2 linked regions of the Astyanax mexicanus genome follow. The protein of the gene in region 1 purifies or fractionates together with the protein of each later gene. This does not show direct contact. Links are inferred from orthologs where the notes say so. Each region holds a gene or a part of one and is shown on either strand. Other genes may lie near its edges.

Region 1 (7,569 bases):
AATATTTCATGCTATTTTTCGAGATAGAAAAAAAAAACACTGAATAAAAAAATATAGCTCAAAAATACACTTCTGCAACAAAATAAAAATTATTTTATTATTGCGTACGATATGATATAAAATGGCACACCCCTAACTGAGATTTTTTTTGTCAATGATCCAGAATGTCATGATACTAATAATACACTCTAAATATCTCTATATATCCAGGATTAAAGTAAAATAAATTATATATAATGGGAAATGAGAACAGTATATCCCAATGTTTGTGGACACAAAGCCTAATTAATGCACCGCTTGTCTAGTCACTGTAGAAGAAGTACTGCAAATAAAATAAGAATCTTTAAAGCGGATAAACAGTCAATCATGCTATGCCAGAATTATTAACATTTTTGATCCTACTTTAAAATCATTAGAGTATTTTTCATTTGCATTTCTTTTGCATTTGATTTTGTGTGGATGTATAACACTTAATTCAGTTTGTATCAGTAATCTGTCATTCTCTCCCTCTTCTCTGCAGGTTGCTTTCACCACAAGAATTTATCACCCAAATATTAACAGTAATGGCAGCATCTGTTTGGATATTCTAAGATCGCAGTGGTCACCAGCATTAACTATTTCTAAAGGTAAGCCCCTTCACACTGAACAGTAAAACAGTACATGAGGAGGACTGTGTTTTAAAGTGTTTTGGTGGTTGCTGTGAATAATGATGGTGTTTGATTCTTCCTGCAGTTCTCTTGTCCATCTGCTCTCTGTTATGTGACCCCAACCCAGACGACCCGCTAGTGCCAGAGATAGCTCGCATATATAAAACAGACAATGAAAAGTAAGTATCGTATCATATATTGTGTTTTTTTAAGTGAGAATAATCAATATTGAATGCATTTACAGAACAGAGTTAGTCAGTAATCTGCTTTATTCAATAATTGACGTGTTCATATGAATTGGATAATCGGAAAACAAACAGATTTAAAAGCGGCATTTTACAAAACGATATCCTTATATCGTTATCATGTTCAGTGAATTGTGATATTTTTATAATACTGTGATACTCAATGTGTTACAAGGCATATGTATTACTGAAGAGGATAAAACACTCTTAAATAAGCAAATACCAGGAATTACGGATTTATTTGCGTCAGTTTCACAGAATTTAACAACCAATTTTCTTCACCACAGGTTTAATGACCCTATTCATTTGATTATAGCGCCACCATGTGGAGTAATAAAGCAGTAACTTTAGTAAGTCTAATCGGTGGGCGAGATTTGGGGACTTTAATGCGCCTGTTTTAATAAAATATGCATGCAAGACGCCACTTGTTGATACGGTACGATACGATACAATCGAAACAATGCAATATATCACAATATCGATATAGTGTTCCAGCCCTGCCCTGATCTCAGTGGGGGTCTCACTGATGAGCTGGGCCGCTTTCCCTCCCTCAGGTATAATAGACTGGCCAGAGAGTGGACAGAGAAGTATGCCACACTGTAGGGGTAAGGCCGGGCATTGTGGGAAGTGCTGGTGTGTGTAAGCGTGTTATGCAGATGGTGTTCAGCATTAGGAGAGATGAGGACGGTGTGTAAAACAGAGGCAGAATGCTTTCAGCTTTGACCTTGCTGTTTTTGTGTGTGTGTGTGTGTGTGTGTGTGTGTGTGTGTGTGTGTGTGTGTGTGTGTGTGTGTGTGTGTGTGTGTGTGTGTGTGTGTGTGTGTGTGTGTGTGTGTTGGCATGGGCACAGTTGGCAGAGCAGTGCTCGCTTGCCCAGCATGCGACACTATCGTTACATTAGCACTCCTCAGCACCACTGTTAATCAATCTCTCTCTCTCTCTTTCTCTTTCTCTCTTTTACTTCCTCTCTTACTTGCTTGTTCCTCTCCATATACAGGCGTTTTTGTTCCTACATAGTAAATGAATAGTGAAGTGATCTATCAGACTATGAAAGAACACATAAGTAATCTGTCTGTCTGTCTACTTATTGTTCAGTGGGTCTATCTCCTCTCTCTCTCTCTCTCTCTCTCTCTCTCTCTTTCTCTCTTCTTCATCATCTTTCTCTCTTGAATTAAAGTTTATTAGAATTATAGGTTTAGTTTTTTTATTGGTATTTATCTCTCTCTCTTTCTTTATATCTCTGTCTCTTGAATTCAATTGGTGTTTCTCTCTTTCTCTATCTCTCTTTCTTGAATTCATGTAGTTTTATGTATGTTTCTATTGGTATTTTTTCCTCTGTCTCTCTCGCATTCTTTCTCTCTTTCTTGAATCTTTCTTTCTTGAATTCAAGTAGTTTTTGTTATCTTTCTCTTGATATTCTTTCTCTCATGAATTCAGATAGTTTAGTAGTTTAGTTTGTTGGTATTCTCTCTATCTATCTATCTCTTGAATTCAAATAGTTTTAGTTATGTATCTGTTGGTATTCTCTTTCTCTCTCTCTCTCGAATGTTGGAATTCAAGTAGTTTTATCAGCATGAATTGTAAATAACAGCTGTCAACAAGTTGCCAATGCAAATAATAGAGTGACTAATGATGATAAGTCATGACAAAAGCTAATGAGTGAATAACTTTATGAAAAACAGCAATTAAAACATTTACATAAAGTTTATTTAGGAATATATTTACAGTGGTTTAATGCAGTCTCTCTCTCTCTCTCTCTCTCTCCCTCTCTCTCTCTCTCTCTCTCTCTCCCTCCCTCTCTCTCTCTCTCTCTCTCTCTCTCAGGTATAACAGAATAGCTCGGGAATGGACTCAGAAATACGCCATGTGATACCTGACGGAATCTCACCCCAACAGATCTGCATTATAGCCCCCTTCTCCCACCTTCTCAACGATCTGGCACTTCCCCTCCACCCCCACCAGCCTCCACCACCCCCACCTCATCTCCAACCAAACCAGTGATTTTGTTTAGTTGTTTTCTGTCCCTGTTAAAGTGTCCTGCGCTGCGAGCGAGAGGACGTCACGGCGAGATCACGCTCTGTCCATCTTTTGTAAAACGCTCTCGGGTCTGAACTACGAAGCATGTGTATCGTCGAGGACCCCGCCCACTCTGTAACCAGGTGTAATAAAACAAAGACATAAAGCAAATAAATAAGAGTATCAAGCGCTTTTATCTCACGCCACATACTGGAGGTGCTATAACGATAAAAAAAATCTATATGTATAAATATATAATGAATAAATAAATAAATGAATAGATTAAATAATGGTCCTTTTGTGAACAATCTGTCACTGGGTTGGCCTTCACTTTTTTATATATGAAAAAATGCTTTTACAATAGCAATGATCCAGTCTGTGAACTATACTCCTCCTGCTTCTGACTGACTCGCCACGGGCAGAACCGGCCCCATGGTTCCATCAGCAGTTCTGAAGAATATAAGATCTATTTTATGCATGTCGTTAGGATAATAACCGTGAATGGGTCAGCCGTCTGCTGAGAAAACAGTGTTAAACACACGTGTCCACTTGAGAACTTTTATTTTGTTACTCCGTTTTCCTGGCTGTTTCATTTCTTCCCCCTGTCGTTTATAGAACGAGGAGCTATTAGTTCATCTGCCTTCCTCCTCCACACTGTTGGCTTGTTGCACTGAATTTATGATTGGACGCTCCTGACGGATGACCGGTCAACTAATAGCTCCACTAGCTGTTCATTTGTTTTCTCAATAAAGTTGGTAAAAGTACTGATTTAAGAGTGGTGTCGTCTTTACTGCATGCATTAACTTTAAGTAGTCTTGTAATACTTTGTGTGGGATTGCAATATTAAAAAAATAATAATTATTTGGGTATTTATTTATAATTGTATTTATTTATAAAAATATTCAGTTTCTTTATGTGCATTCATTTATAGAACAGCAAGTTTTATTATTTTCTGGCTATGAATTAATTATCTCAATCCCACACCATAATCAGTCATGGCCATGATCTCATTCACATGCCTTATTTATCTCGTTCCCAAGCATTAGGATCCCGTTCCCATGGCTTAATAAGAATGCTGTTTTCTGACTCTAATATTCTACTATAAAATCTATATAGCAAATTAATCCAATTTTTTTGTTTCCCTGCATTGGAAGCCTGTGTGTGATATTTTATATTTTTATATTGCTCTTTTTATTTCATAAAGCATCCCTAAACATGAAAAAACATGATTAAAAAGTGTTATAAATCACATTAAAATTAGTAGAAATTTGCTGTTACTTTGCCATAATGGCTCTAGTACTTCAGTTTTTCCAGTGTTTTTGCAGTAAATAGGCCGTAGTTACTCTTTCATTGATTTATAAACTTGTTGATTGGGTGTTTTATGGTCTATTCTGATGAATAACATCTCTCAAATAGTGTGAAGTGCAACAAAATATTTAAAAATAAAGAAAATACCTGATGTCCATTATTATAACATTTTACATTTTCTGCAAATAAATCAAATGCTTTAAATGACAATATTTTTATAGCAGTGTTTGTACACACTGTATTATTACACAATTCAATAAGACGGTAATTACCGGGTTTGACCAGCAGGTGTCGCCCCCGCAGCGGCCGGCTTTGCTGGAGGAGAAGTTGCGTTACGTCACAGGGAATTTCCAGTAAGGAAGTGAACTTTTCTTTACAAACAGATCGATCCGCGCTCGAGCGGCGACCATTAACTCGATATCGCCTCCGATCCGCCGGATAATTCACCCGCACTGCGCCCGAGCCTCTCCTCCGCACCCAGCCGAACGCCCGCCCGGCCGGAGCTCTGCGCCACCCGCGGGGCTGCATGGCTCCTTACCCGCCTGCCTGAGCTCTCTCTGCGGACTGACAGCACATGTGGAGCGGCCAGACACACCAGCACAGGTAGCGGACTGAGCTCCACACACTGCACTCTACAGTCTACACACACTTTACTGCTGTTTTACTGCTGTTTATGTCATATAAACACTGACACTTATATCTGCTCTACATATATATATCCTTATATAGAACACCAACTATTGCCTAACTACCTAACTGCTCATAGTATAGTTATTAACTCTAACCATTCACAACATTCATTAAAAATATTACTTTTAAGATATTACTAATCTATCTAATCTGAGATACGTTTTAATATATTAATAGTGGGGAATTAACCCACATTATGCGCTCTATAACACTTTCAAATCATTAAGTCTTAAGATTTCCCTATAATAATAAATCCGCTTTTGTTTCATTTGGATGACTTTGTAGGTAGTTTTGGGCTGTGTCCAAATAAGTACTCTACCTCACTAGTTACTTAGCTAGTTAGCTAACTTAAGTTTGCAGACTATACAGTCAATGGAGCATGAGTAGTAGTATAGCTGGCTAGTGGTTGATTTTGAGATATTTTAAATAAATGTCCCTAAGATTAATCTGCTTTTGTTTTATTTGGATGTCTTTGTAGGTAGGTATCATTCGGCTGCGTTCAAATAAGCACTCTTACACACCTAGCTAGATAACTATACCAGTAGTTTGCAGAGTATATCAAAGCAAGTTAATTCAACACCGTTAGCTAGTGGAGCTATCTAGTTAGCTAGTGGTGATATTCGGGATACAGCCCACTGTTTTAAAGTCTTAAGTCTTACAAATGTCACTGTAATAAATCAAATTTTGGATGGCTTTTAGCTTTGGGCTGCGTCCAAAGCGTCTAGTGGTGGGATCGGGATACAGCCCACAGTTTTAAAGTGTTATAAGGCACTAGTCAATAGTGCAGCACTACTATAGGTTAGGTAGTGGTGGGATTTGGGACGCAGCCCACTCTCAGCACTATCAGACGAAGCTGAACTGAAGAACATGGTCTTGTTATTGATGTGTTTAAACAAATAAAACCACAAGTTTACACTCGTATGTGTTAGTCATTTCATTTCTCAATAAAATCCCAGTATATTAATTAAGAATATGAAATATCAGAGGCTGCTCAGCATCTTAAACTGACTGAAACTGACTCAAACTGAGAGTCTGGGTATTTTGTTGACTTGCCGACTTGTTGGCTTGTTAACTCCGAGTCCCAGTGCTGTTAAAACACTTAATTTAGCACTTTTAAACCGTATAAACTTAATATAAGTTTCCTACACGACAGCGGGTTAAAGTTGCGGCGAAATCCGACCACAATCTCAGAAAATGAAGTTGGATTTAGCTGATTTAGCTGAACTTCGCTCTGCTACTTCCCATTTCCACACACAGACTGAGGGCTTTAGCTTAGCTTAGGTTTAGCCTAGCTTAGCTTAGCATGCTAACTAACATTAGCTCATTAATTCGAGGCTTTGACCGTGTTTTTACAGCTCAGCCGCTTCAGCTTTAGTTAACAGACTGAATAAAAATATAATATGATATATATATATATATATATATATATATATATATATATATATATATATATATATATATATATATATATATATATATATTGGTTAAATAATGTTCAATAAAGAGAAAGATTATTTTAAATATAATTACAGGGCTGTGAAAGTGCACTCACTGTAAATTAGCTAGCTGTTATTTCTACTCCCTGTCAGAGCTTAGCTTTAACCTTTTTTAGGTTTTTATTATTATTTTCAGCTGTAAGTTCTATACGGCTTATTTTATTTTACTCTATACTATATAAGTTAGTATGAAGCCTCAAACAACACTGATAGCAAGAAAGTTGAATAAACCTTCAATTTTTGACTGTATGATGGAAAAGCAACCTTTAATCTTTCATTTAAAAGTTCTTCCATAATATATAATTAATATTAATGCACATTTATAATTAGTACATTTAAATGTCCCTTTCTACAAAACAACAACAATACAAACACGATATATACATATGTAATGTAAGTAAAGGTTAATACAAACAATATACAGCTCTGGAAAACAAATAAGAGACCACTTAAACTTTCTTTGATTTTACCAAATTGAAAACCTCTGGAATATAATCAAGAGGAAGATGGATGAACACAAACCATCAAACCACCAAACTGAACTGCTTAAATGTTCACACCAGGAGTAAAGCAGCATAAAGTTATCCAAAAGCAGTGTGTAAGACTGGTGGAGGAGAACATGCCAGTATGAATTGCAGATAAGCAAAATATTACAATGTCAGTTTTTTCTCTCTAATATCGTGCAACCCTAGCCTGGATCTTCTGAAAGTCTTCTCACAGTCAGTTTTAGGGGTTGATTGTTTACTTGCTGCCTAAAATATCTCATATTAATGCTCTGACATTTGAACTCTCCATTCCATGAGTCTTTCTACGGTCTATTGTTCTTGATCTGATCTGAAGCTACATGACGTTTAAAGGTCTGTAGTGATGGACTCGAGTCGCTGTCATTCCCAGTCTCTTCCACTTTATTAAAATATCACTGACAGTTGGCTTTGGAATATTTAGTAGTGAGTTTAGTAGTAAAATTTCACGACTGGACTTGTTGTTGCACAGGTGCTGCATCCTATCACACGGTACCACAGTGCGTTCACTGAGCTTCTGAGAGCAACCCATTCTTTCATTATTTTTTTTTATTCACACCTGTGGCCATGCAAGTGATTGGAATACCTGAGTTCAGTTAATTGGATGATTGGTTGATTGAAAACATTTGGTTTTAAGCTCTTATCT
Region 2 (7,979 bases), on another chromosome or scaffold:
TAAAATATCAATAAACTACATTTAAGTTTGTGGTTGTAATGTGACAAAATGTAAAACACTTCAAGAGGTATGAATACATGTACAAGCCATTATACATCTGATCTAAATTCAGTTGTATTCTGAAATACTTTAGAATAAATAACTCCTTATTTAACATTCAATAACTGTAGAAATGTTTGTTCATTTTTTAGAAATGCTCTAGTGGTAGGGAATATTTGTAATTTGGGACGGGGCCGACATTCTCTACCCATGTGGCTGACTTAACGAACTGGCAAATCTAGCAAGCAAACGCTCTCTGAACACCAGCTTTACAGTATTTTGCTGTTCCTCACTCCAACAGCTGAACAAACAGTGAAGATTCAACTTTAATCAAACCCTTTTAGCCCTTAAAGCTCTCTTTTGCCATAATTCCGTCCATCCCTGCAAAAATCAAACATTAAACTTAAATCTAAACCTAAGATTAGTGATCTACACCCAGGGGCAGCACCTGGCATGGACTTTAGGGGCTTCAGTCCCGAGCATATTTTAAAGGTCTCCTTCCAATAAAATCCACTTTTTCTTGTTCTTTGTGAAATAGAATAAGTCTCTTTGAGTTGTACATGATGCTGCACATGAAACTCTTCCTGAACCTCTATTGTCTACAGTAGCTGGTAAAAGAAAAGCCTCAGAAAAACTAGTCGATCAGTAAAAGCACATGTGTACGTCAATCGGTGAATTAATATTCATGGCCTCACCCATGATTTTGGGGAAAACTTACACTGCACTATAATTTGTTGATCTGTAATATATATTGAGATTTAAAAAAAAATAGAGGTAAAAAATACAGTGCAACAGGATTGAAAATCGGGGTCAGATCGGGTATTTTTCAAAGGATCAGAATCAGGTGGAAACTATACATTTGATTTGTTTTTGTTTTTTTTTTACTATATTTTTTATACTATTTTATTATATTATTATTTTTTATATTATTATATTTATATATTATATTTTTATTTTTAACTATGCCGATTATTCCACCCACTCAGTTGCACTCACTCGATTACTAGCACATACCTGTCAAGTTTTAGATTTAAAAATAAGGGATATTTTCCTCTGTACGCTTAAAGCCGTCCCACCAGCCCAACGAAGGTTCAGTATCCCTCACATTTTAAAACAGGTTTACAAGAAATATAAAATAACCACAAGTGAACCACTTACACACTACAATTAGATTATAAGAATCTGAAATGTTGTGGACATTCCTACATATGTCATTCTTTTAATACAGCCAAATTAAAAATCCTTTTCTTTTTTTAAAAAATTAAGATTTCATGTCTTTTTTGTAATAAATGCACTCTTTTATATGATATATTTTTTATTTATTTAATGGATTTAAAATTGAACAAAGGGTGCACAAATTCTGCAAAATGACTGTTGGTGACCTAAACATAGTATCATGAGCTTTTACTAAAAGGACATGGACCAGATATGTTTCATCAGTAAAAATTTGTCCTAAGGGGCCTACACAATAATTTTTAATTAATACTTCTTCCTTTTGATCACTCCACCCCTGATCAGTTCAGTTAATTTCGGTCCTCTCCACATTTCTAGTTAAACTGAGTCACAAGTTGTAAATTTGTTTATTTTAAAAGGTTTAATCTGTGTGTTTTATTTCGGAGACGAGTATTTTTAAGCAGCTATCAGAAAAATCTCATCACAGTTTCCATGATTAGCCTACCGTTCCCTTTCTTTAAGAAAAATCGCTGTATATCCAGATCTACGGTGGCTGAGAAAGCCCAACGCAGTGCAAATTGAAAAGCGCTGCAAAAGCACAAAACACATCCATCAAAATTACAACACAGGCGCAGCAAATAGAAAAACGCGCTGCAAAAAGAAAAACGCGCTGCAAATAGAAAAACGCGCTGCAAATAGAACCACAACACAACGGAAGTGAGTCACAACACAACGGAATTTTCCCGGGGGACCTTAAAAGATACTGTACCAGCTAAGCTGCGTCTTCAGTAACGTCTCGGACTTCAATATGTGTACAAAGGACAATACGTGGCAAACAAGGCGTTTTGTGAAGCAGAACTTTTAATAATATGCACACAACCGTGGTAATCACAGGTAATAAACATAACTTACTTTTCAGAAGCTTGTTTGCCACTTATTGTCCTTTGTATACAGCTGGTACAGCATCTTTTAAGGTCCCCCGGGAAAATTCCGTTGTGACTCACTTCCGTTGTGTTGTGGTTCTATTTGCAGCGCGTTTTTCTATTTGCAGCGCGTTTTTCTTTTTGCAGCGCGTTTTTCTATTTGCTGCGCCTGTGTTGTAATTTTGATGGATGTGTTTTGTGCTTTTGCAGCGCTTTTCAATTTGCACTGCGTTGGGCTTTCTCGGCCACCGTAGGGGTTTCCCGGCCAAAACGGGAGACTTGACAGGTATGCTAGCAACATACCTGTCAAGTTTTAGATTTAAGAATAAGGGATATTTTCCTCTGTACTCCTAAAGCCGTCCCACCAGCCCAACGAAGGTTCAGTATCCCTTACATTTTAAGACGGGTTTACAAAAAATCTAAAATAACCACAAGTGAACCACTTACACACTACAATTAGATTATCAGAATCTGAAATGTTGTGGACATTCCTACATATGTCATTCTTTTAATACAGCCAAATTAAATACCCTTTTCTATATATTTAAAAAAATATATAAGATTTCATGTCTTTTTGTAATAAATGCACTCTTTTATATGATATATTTTTTATTTATTTAATGGATTTAAAATTGAACAAAGGGTGCACAAATTCTGCAAAATGACTGTAGGTGAACTAAAAATAGTATCATGAGCTTTTACTAAAAGGACATGGACCAGATATGTTCCATCAGTAAAAATTAGTCCTAAGGGGCCTACACAATAATTTTTAATTAATACTTCTTTCTTTTGATCACTCCACCCCTGATCAGTTCAGTTAATTTCGGTCCTCTCCACATTTCTAGTTCTAGAGTCACAAGCTGTATTTTTTTCTAAAGTCACAAGCTGTATTTTTAAGCAGCTATCAGAAAAATCTCATCACAGTTTACATGATTAGCCTACCGTTACCTTTCTTTTAGAAAAATCGCTGTATATCCATGTATGTTTTAACATCAGCAGCTCTAACTAGCTGCCTGAACTCACAGCGACGGGGGGCTTTCCCACACTGACCCTCCTTTGTAAGCTGATTGGCTGTTTCTCCTGAAAGGCGGGACTTTCTCCTTGAATCGGCTCCACGATTGGTTAAGAGAGCGGTCAGTGCCCTGTCTCCTCAATAATATATATTTTTTTATTTAGTATAATACGGGAAATTTACGGGAAAATACTAATACGGGAGGACGGCGGGAAAGAGGAGTAAAATACGGTAGTTTCCCGGCCAAAACGGGAGACTTGACAGGTATGGCTAGCAATGCCTCCTCTGACACATGTAAAGCCAGCTACCACCTCTTGGAAATGCAGCATTAGCGAGTAGCGAGCACGGTCACAAGAAAGCACAGTGACTCGGCTCTGATACATGAGCCAACAGATGCCTGTGCTGACTGATATCACCCTTTGGAGTGATGTGGGAAAAAAGCGCCATCTACACACCTAGAGAGAGCAAGACCAATTGTGCTCTCTCTCGGACTGATAGCGAGGTGCATGACTGGGATTCGTGGCAGCACTTTATTCTTCTGGACCACTTGGAGTCTCTTATGCATCATATTGCTATGGGTGGGCGAAATAATGACATTAAAAAAAAATATATATATACATATATATATATATATATATATATATATATATATATATATATATATATATATCATGGTTTTAATATTGTGGTGATTAATACAGTACATTTTTATGTCACTGACACCACTAATATAAATATAATTAAAATTCGCCAATCTAACAATGACTCTTTTTTTTTACATTTAAATAATCCATTATTAAAAGCTTATGAATGTTTGGTAGGCCACATGATTTACACATGCGTGCACAGTTTGATATTTTCACTGGTGATTTTAATGTTTTCAAGTAAATATAGTAATGTGTCTTATAGTATGTAATTATTATTCTTTAAAAGCATAGACTAGTACAATATAATACTTTTAAAATGTGATATGAAGTGGTATATTTTGATTTTAAAAAATTGGTTATTTAAAAATAACAACTTGGATGTGTTTTTTTTTTTTTTTTTTTTTTTACTGCATTGCCAGAGTATCAGATCGGGATTGGTATTGACAGATACACAAAATCTAATTTTCTCTTTGTGCATATAGTAAAACTGGAGTAAAATAAATTATATTGCAGTTTGCAAAGACAGTATTAAACATTATATTGTGCAGTCCTGCCCTAAACCTGTGCTTATCTGGTTGGATTCTGAGCAAAATTGATACTCAAATCAATATTTATTAATCATAATATGACTAATAATAAAATAAAAATGTTATAAAATTTCAATTTCAGTTAGTTGTAGATATTTTATTAGTTTTCTTAGTTTAAATTACATTAAAACTAAACTAAAACATGAACATTTAAAGCAGGTTCTTCCTTTTTTACGGCCACCAGGTGGCGGGGTAACCTACATACATGTAGGTGTAACAGAGGGCTGCTACGGAGAAGAGGCGGGCTCCTATAACCTGCTCTCTGTGTTCTGATTGGTTAAAATCTCTCAAGACTTCTCAAACAGGGCGGAGTCTTCCTACGAGAGGAACCAATCAAATCTAAGCCACGGTTCTCCCGCCTTTTTTGGATACGCTTACTACTTCCAACCACGTCATCCCACGTTTTAATACACTTTACTGCTAATTATAAACCTAGCTTACTTTAACACTAGATATTAATCTGTATTAATTTATATAAAATAATAATAACACAAATAATAACCGAGAAAACGCTTCAGGTGTGGCCTACATGGGCGGTGGCACAGTTCTGATTGGCTCGGATAAAACCGGAGGGCGTTTTGATTGGCTGTCCGCCTTCGCCACGCCTGTCTATCATTTCCAGGCAGGCAGCGAGTTCGGTTGAGTTGTTTGTAAGTTGATGTGTGTCCAAAAAGAAACTCCTGCGTGTTAAAAAATGAGCGGTAAGTTGAGTTAATTCGGTTTAAAAGCGGGTTTTTAACGAGTTAGTCGAGTTAAGGTGAGGTAGGCGTGATAATAAGCACTTTTCGGGGCGGTTTTGTGGGGTAGGTTTAGTCTGCAGTGACTGTAAGTGTCTGAAATGATTTCTGAAGATTTGTAGTTGGCGAGTTAAAGTACGAAGAAACCGGTTTGAAGTAGGTTAAAAGTTGATAAGTGTAAACGGAGGCTGTTATAATGCGAATTAGATGTGTAGAACTGGATAATTAATAACTGAGTGGGTAGTTAAAGTGTCTAACAGAGACTTCGCTACTGTAGCTACCGCTAGTTTAGCTAACCTAGCTAGCTTAGCTAGCGAGCTAACCTGCTAAGGAACCTTAAGTTTTTTTGTACTAAAAAACTTTCATAATGGCTTTATTAAGGTAGCTAGCGGTTAGATAACTAGCTTTTTGGGTGGTAAATCGCTTTATTTAATATTTAATCTGTTGTGTTTTTACTTCATTTACAAGTGTTTTGTCGTTAAAACTTTCATTTGCCTGTTTTAAAATTGCTTGTTTTTTGGAATTGTCCGTTCCACCTTAAAGAGTGCAGCAGTTCCATGGAACTGCTGCACTCTTTAAGGTGGAACGGACTATTGCAAAAGCAAGTCAACTTAAAAGTGGTTTAACGTCTTATTTGCTCTTTAAGCTAAATAATAATTATTAAAGACTAGTAATAACTCAGTTGTAAACCATACAAGTGATTTAAAAATATATTTTCTTGTCTACAGAGCGAAATGAAATGGCTGCGATGGGAGAAGGCGACGGAGACTTCCGTAAAAAGCGAAACACCAAAACAGACCAGGTCAGTAATACAACTGTTAAATATTTGATATAGCTATAGCTGTTATACAGTACTAGGCAAAAGTTTGACCACACACCTTTTCGTTTAGTTTATTTTTTCTTTATTCTTTATTCTTTAGTATTTTCTACATTGTAGATTAATACTGAAGACAACAGGATGAAATAACACATGCAGTTGTAAAAGTCGTGTGTCGTTGCAAGCCTCGTTTTCTTAAAGCTAAGTTTTTTTAAGTAATTGGTTTCTCTATATATTTATGGAAATACATATTTAAGGCATTTTTTATTTACTTTAGTGCATATATCAAACAGTGCACATATTTCTTGGGAGTTTATTAATGGATATTTAAATTTAAATAATTGTTAGTATTATGTTGACAACATTTAAAATGTATTATGTTTAATATTAAAGTTGTATGTAAGGTTGAAGGTGGCTGCTTACTATTACTTTAAAAGAATTAAGAAATCTTATGTATTATATAAATGTTATAAATGTGATTTTGAAGTTATCTACAAGAACTAAAAATCATAATTGAGAATCGCTCATATTTTAAGAATATAGTTTTTTGTTGTACAATATTGATTTTGGTTTAAACAGTGGCAATATATCGCCTTGCTTATATCCCCACCAAGTTCTTTCCATTATACCACCAATACAAAATTTTCTTCAGTTATTTAAAGGCTATATGTTGAGACAAGTGTTGTTGTTTTTTATTATTAGTCTTAAACCAGCTATTTATTATGTACCAAAATCTCTGCACTCTCTGTTTAATTTCAAGTGAAGAAGTTTCGTTGTATTTGGTCGGTCATGTAAGGAAGGAACTCCAAGGAATTCAAATTTGGAGATTAAGATATGGGACAATTATATGGCACATGCTGTACATGATGTAAACACAAACACTCAGTGCTAAACACTGAAATTACTAATTCCTTAATCAGCAATAACAGCTTTATTTACTTCTGCACTGTTGCACTGTAATAAGAACAATTTGTATATATATAATTTTTTTTTAATTATTTCGCTACACCTTGAATACAGTTTACACCTTCATTGGAAAAAATTATGTAAAGTTACTGGAATAAAATTTGATGTCATGTTGTAAACTAGTTACATAGAAATTCTTAAAACCTGACCCACACAAACAGCTCTTTATCTGTTTGTCTTACAAAACCTTTAAGAAGGTCTGTTTTTTTACTAAAAAAGTACCACTTGCTTAGTGCAATGGTCCTAGGACCAGTGTTGGGAAATGCTAAACAGCTAAAATAAGTGTTGGAGGACTTTACGTAATTTTATGTTGCTTTGTGATAACACAATTTATCAATATTTCGTTACATCGTTAATCGTTACATTCCGTGTAATCATACATTATCCCACACTGCATTTTACTAAATCAAAAATGTGATGCATCAAGTTATTCTGAGGTTCTCCTTCCCACAGGATGCCCAGCCGCCATCACCTTTAGCCCTGTTGGCGGCGACTTGCAGTCGGATAGACGAGAACGACGCAGCTGAACAGCAGCTTCAGGTCCATCGGAATGATTTAACCCACACCCAGGTATCTCACGCCACCAACGGCTGGCAGATAGTTTCTCAAGGTGTACAGACGACCACTGCCTCCGGGAATAACGTCTCTCAGAAGATCGTTCAGGATAAAAACCAAACTATCGTGACCTCCGGTGTCCAGCAGCAACAGCAGCAGCAGTATATAGTGGCATCAGCACCCAGCATACAAGGCCAGCAGCTGCTGACCACCATCTCTGGTGTGATGCCCAACATCCAGTATCAGGTCATTCCACAGTTCCAGACAGTGGACGGGCAACAGCTGCAGTTTGCCCAGACTACCCAGGATGCTTCTGCTGCAGGAACAGGGCAGCTTCAGCTCGTGTCTTCGCCCAATGGTGGGCAGCAGCTCATCGCAACGTCGGCCGGCCAGAATACTGGAGCTGGCAACATCCTGACTGTGCCAGGTCTTCTTCAGCAGGCCATTCCTCTTCAGAACCTGGCACTGGGCAACACTGTTCTGCCCAGTCAGACACAGTTTTTGGCTAACGTGCCCATGTCGC

What was found.
Region 2: the proteins of nfkb1 (region 1) and sp1 purify together in Homo sapiens (affinity purification with western blotting, with the first as the bait; 3 studies listed by BioGRID). This does not show direct contact. The link is inferred for Astyanax mexicanus from reciprocal best matches to the Homo sapiens genes NFKB1 and SP1.

What each region holds. Positions count from the first base shown.
Region 1 is NC_064426.1:2,198,555-2,206,123, forward strand, and holds the start of nfkb1 (nuclear factor NF-kappa-B p105 subunit), read left to right. Parts: upstream 1-4,548; 5' UTR 4,549-4,819; intron 4,820-7,569. Other genes in the region: ube2d2l (ubiquitin-conjugating enzyme E2D 2 (UBC4/5 homolog, yeast), like), read left to right, coding at 521-626, 733-826, 1,447-1,495.
Region 2 is NC_064431.1:15,805,055-15,813,033, forward strand, and holds the start of sp1 (transcription factor Sp1), read left to right. Parts: upstream 1-4,975; 5' UTR 4,976-5,075; coding exon 5,076-5,082; intron 5,083-5,846; coding exon 5,847-5,920; intron 5,921-7,354; coding exon 7,355-7,979. UniProt on the Homo sapiens protein: Transcription factor that can activate or repress transcription in response to physiological and pathological stimuli.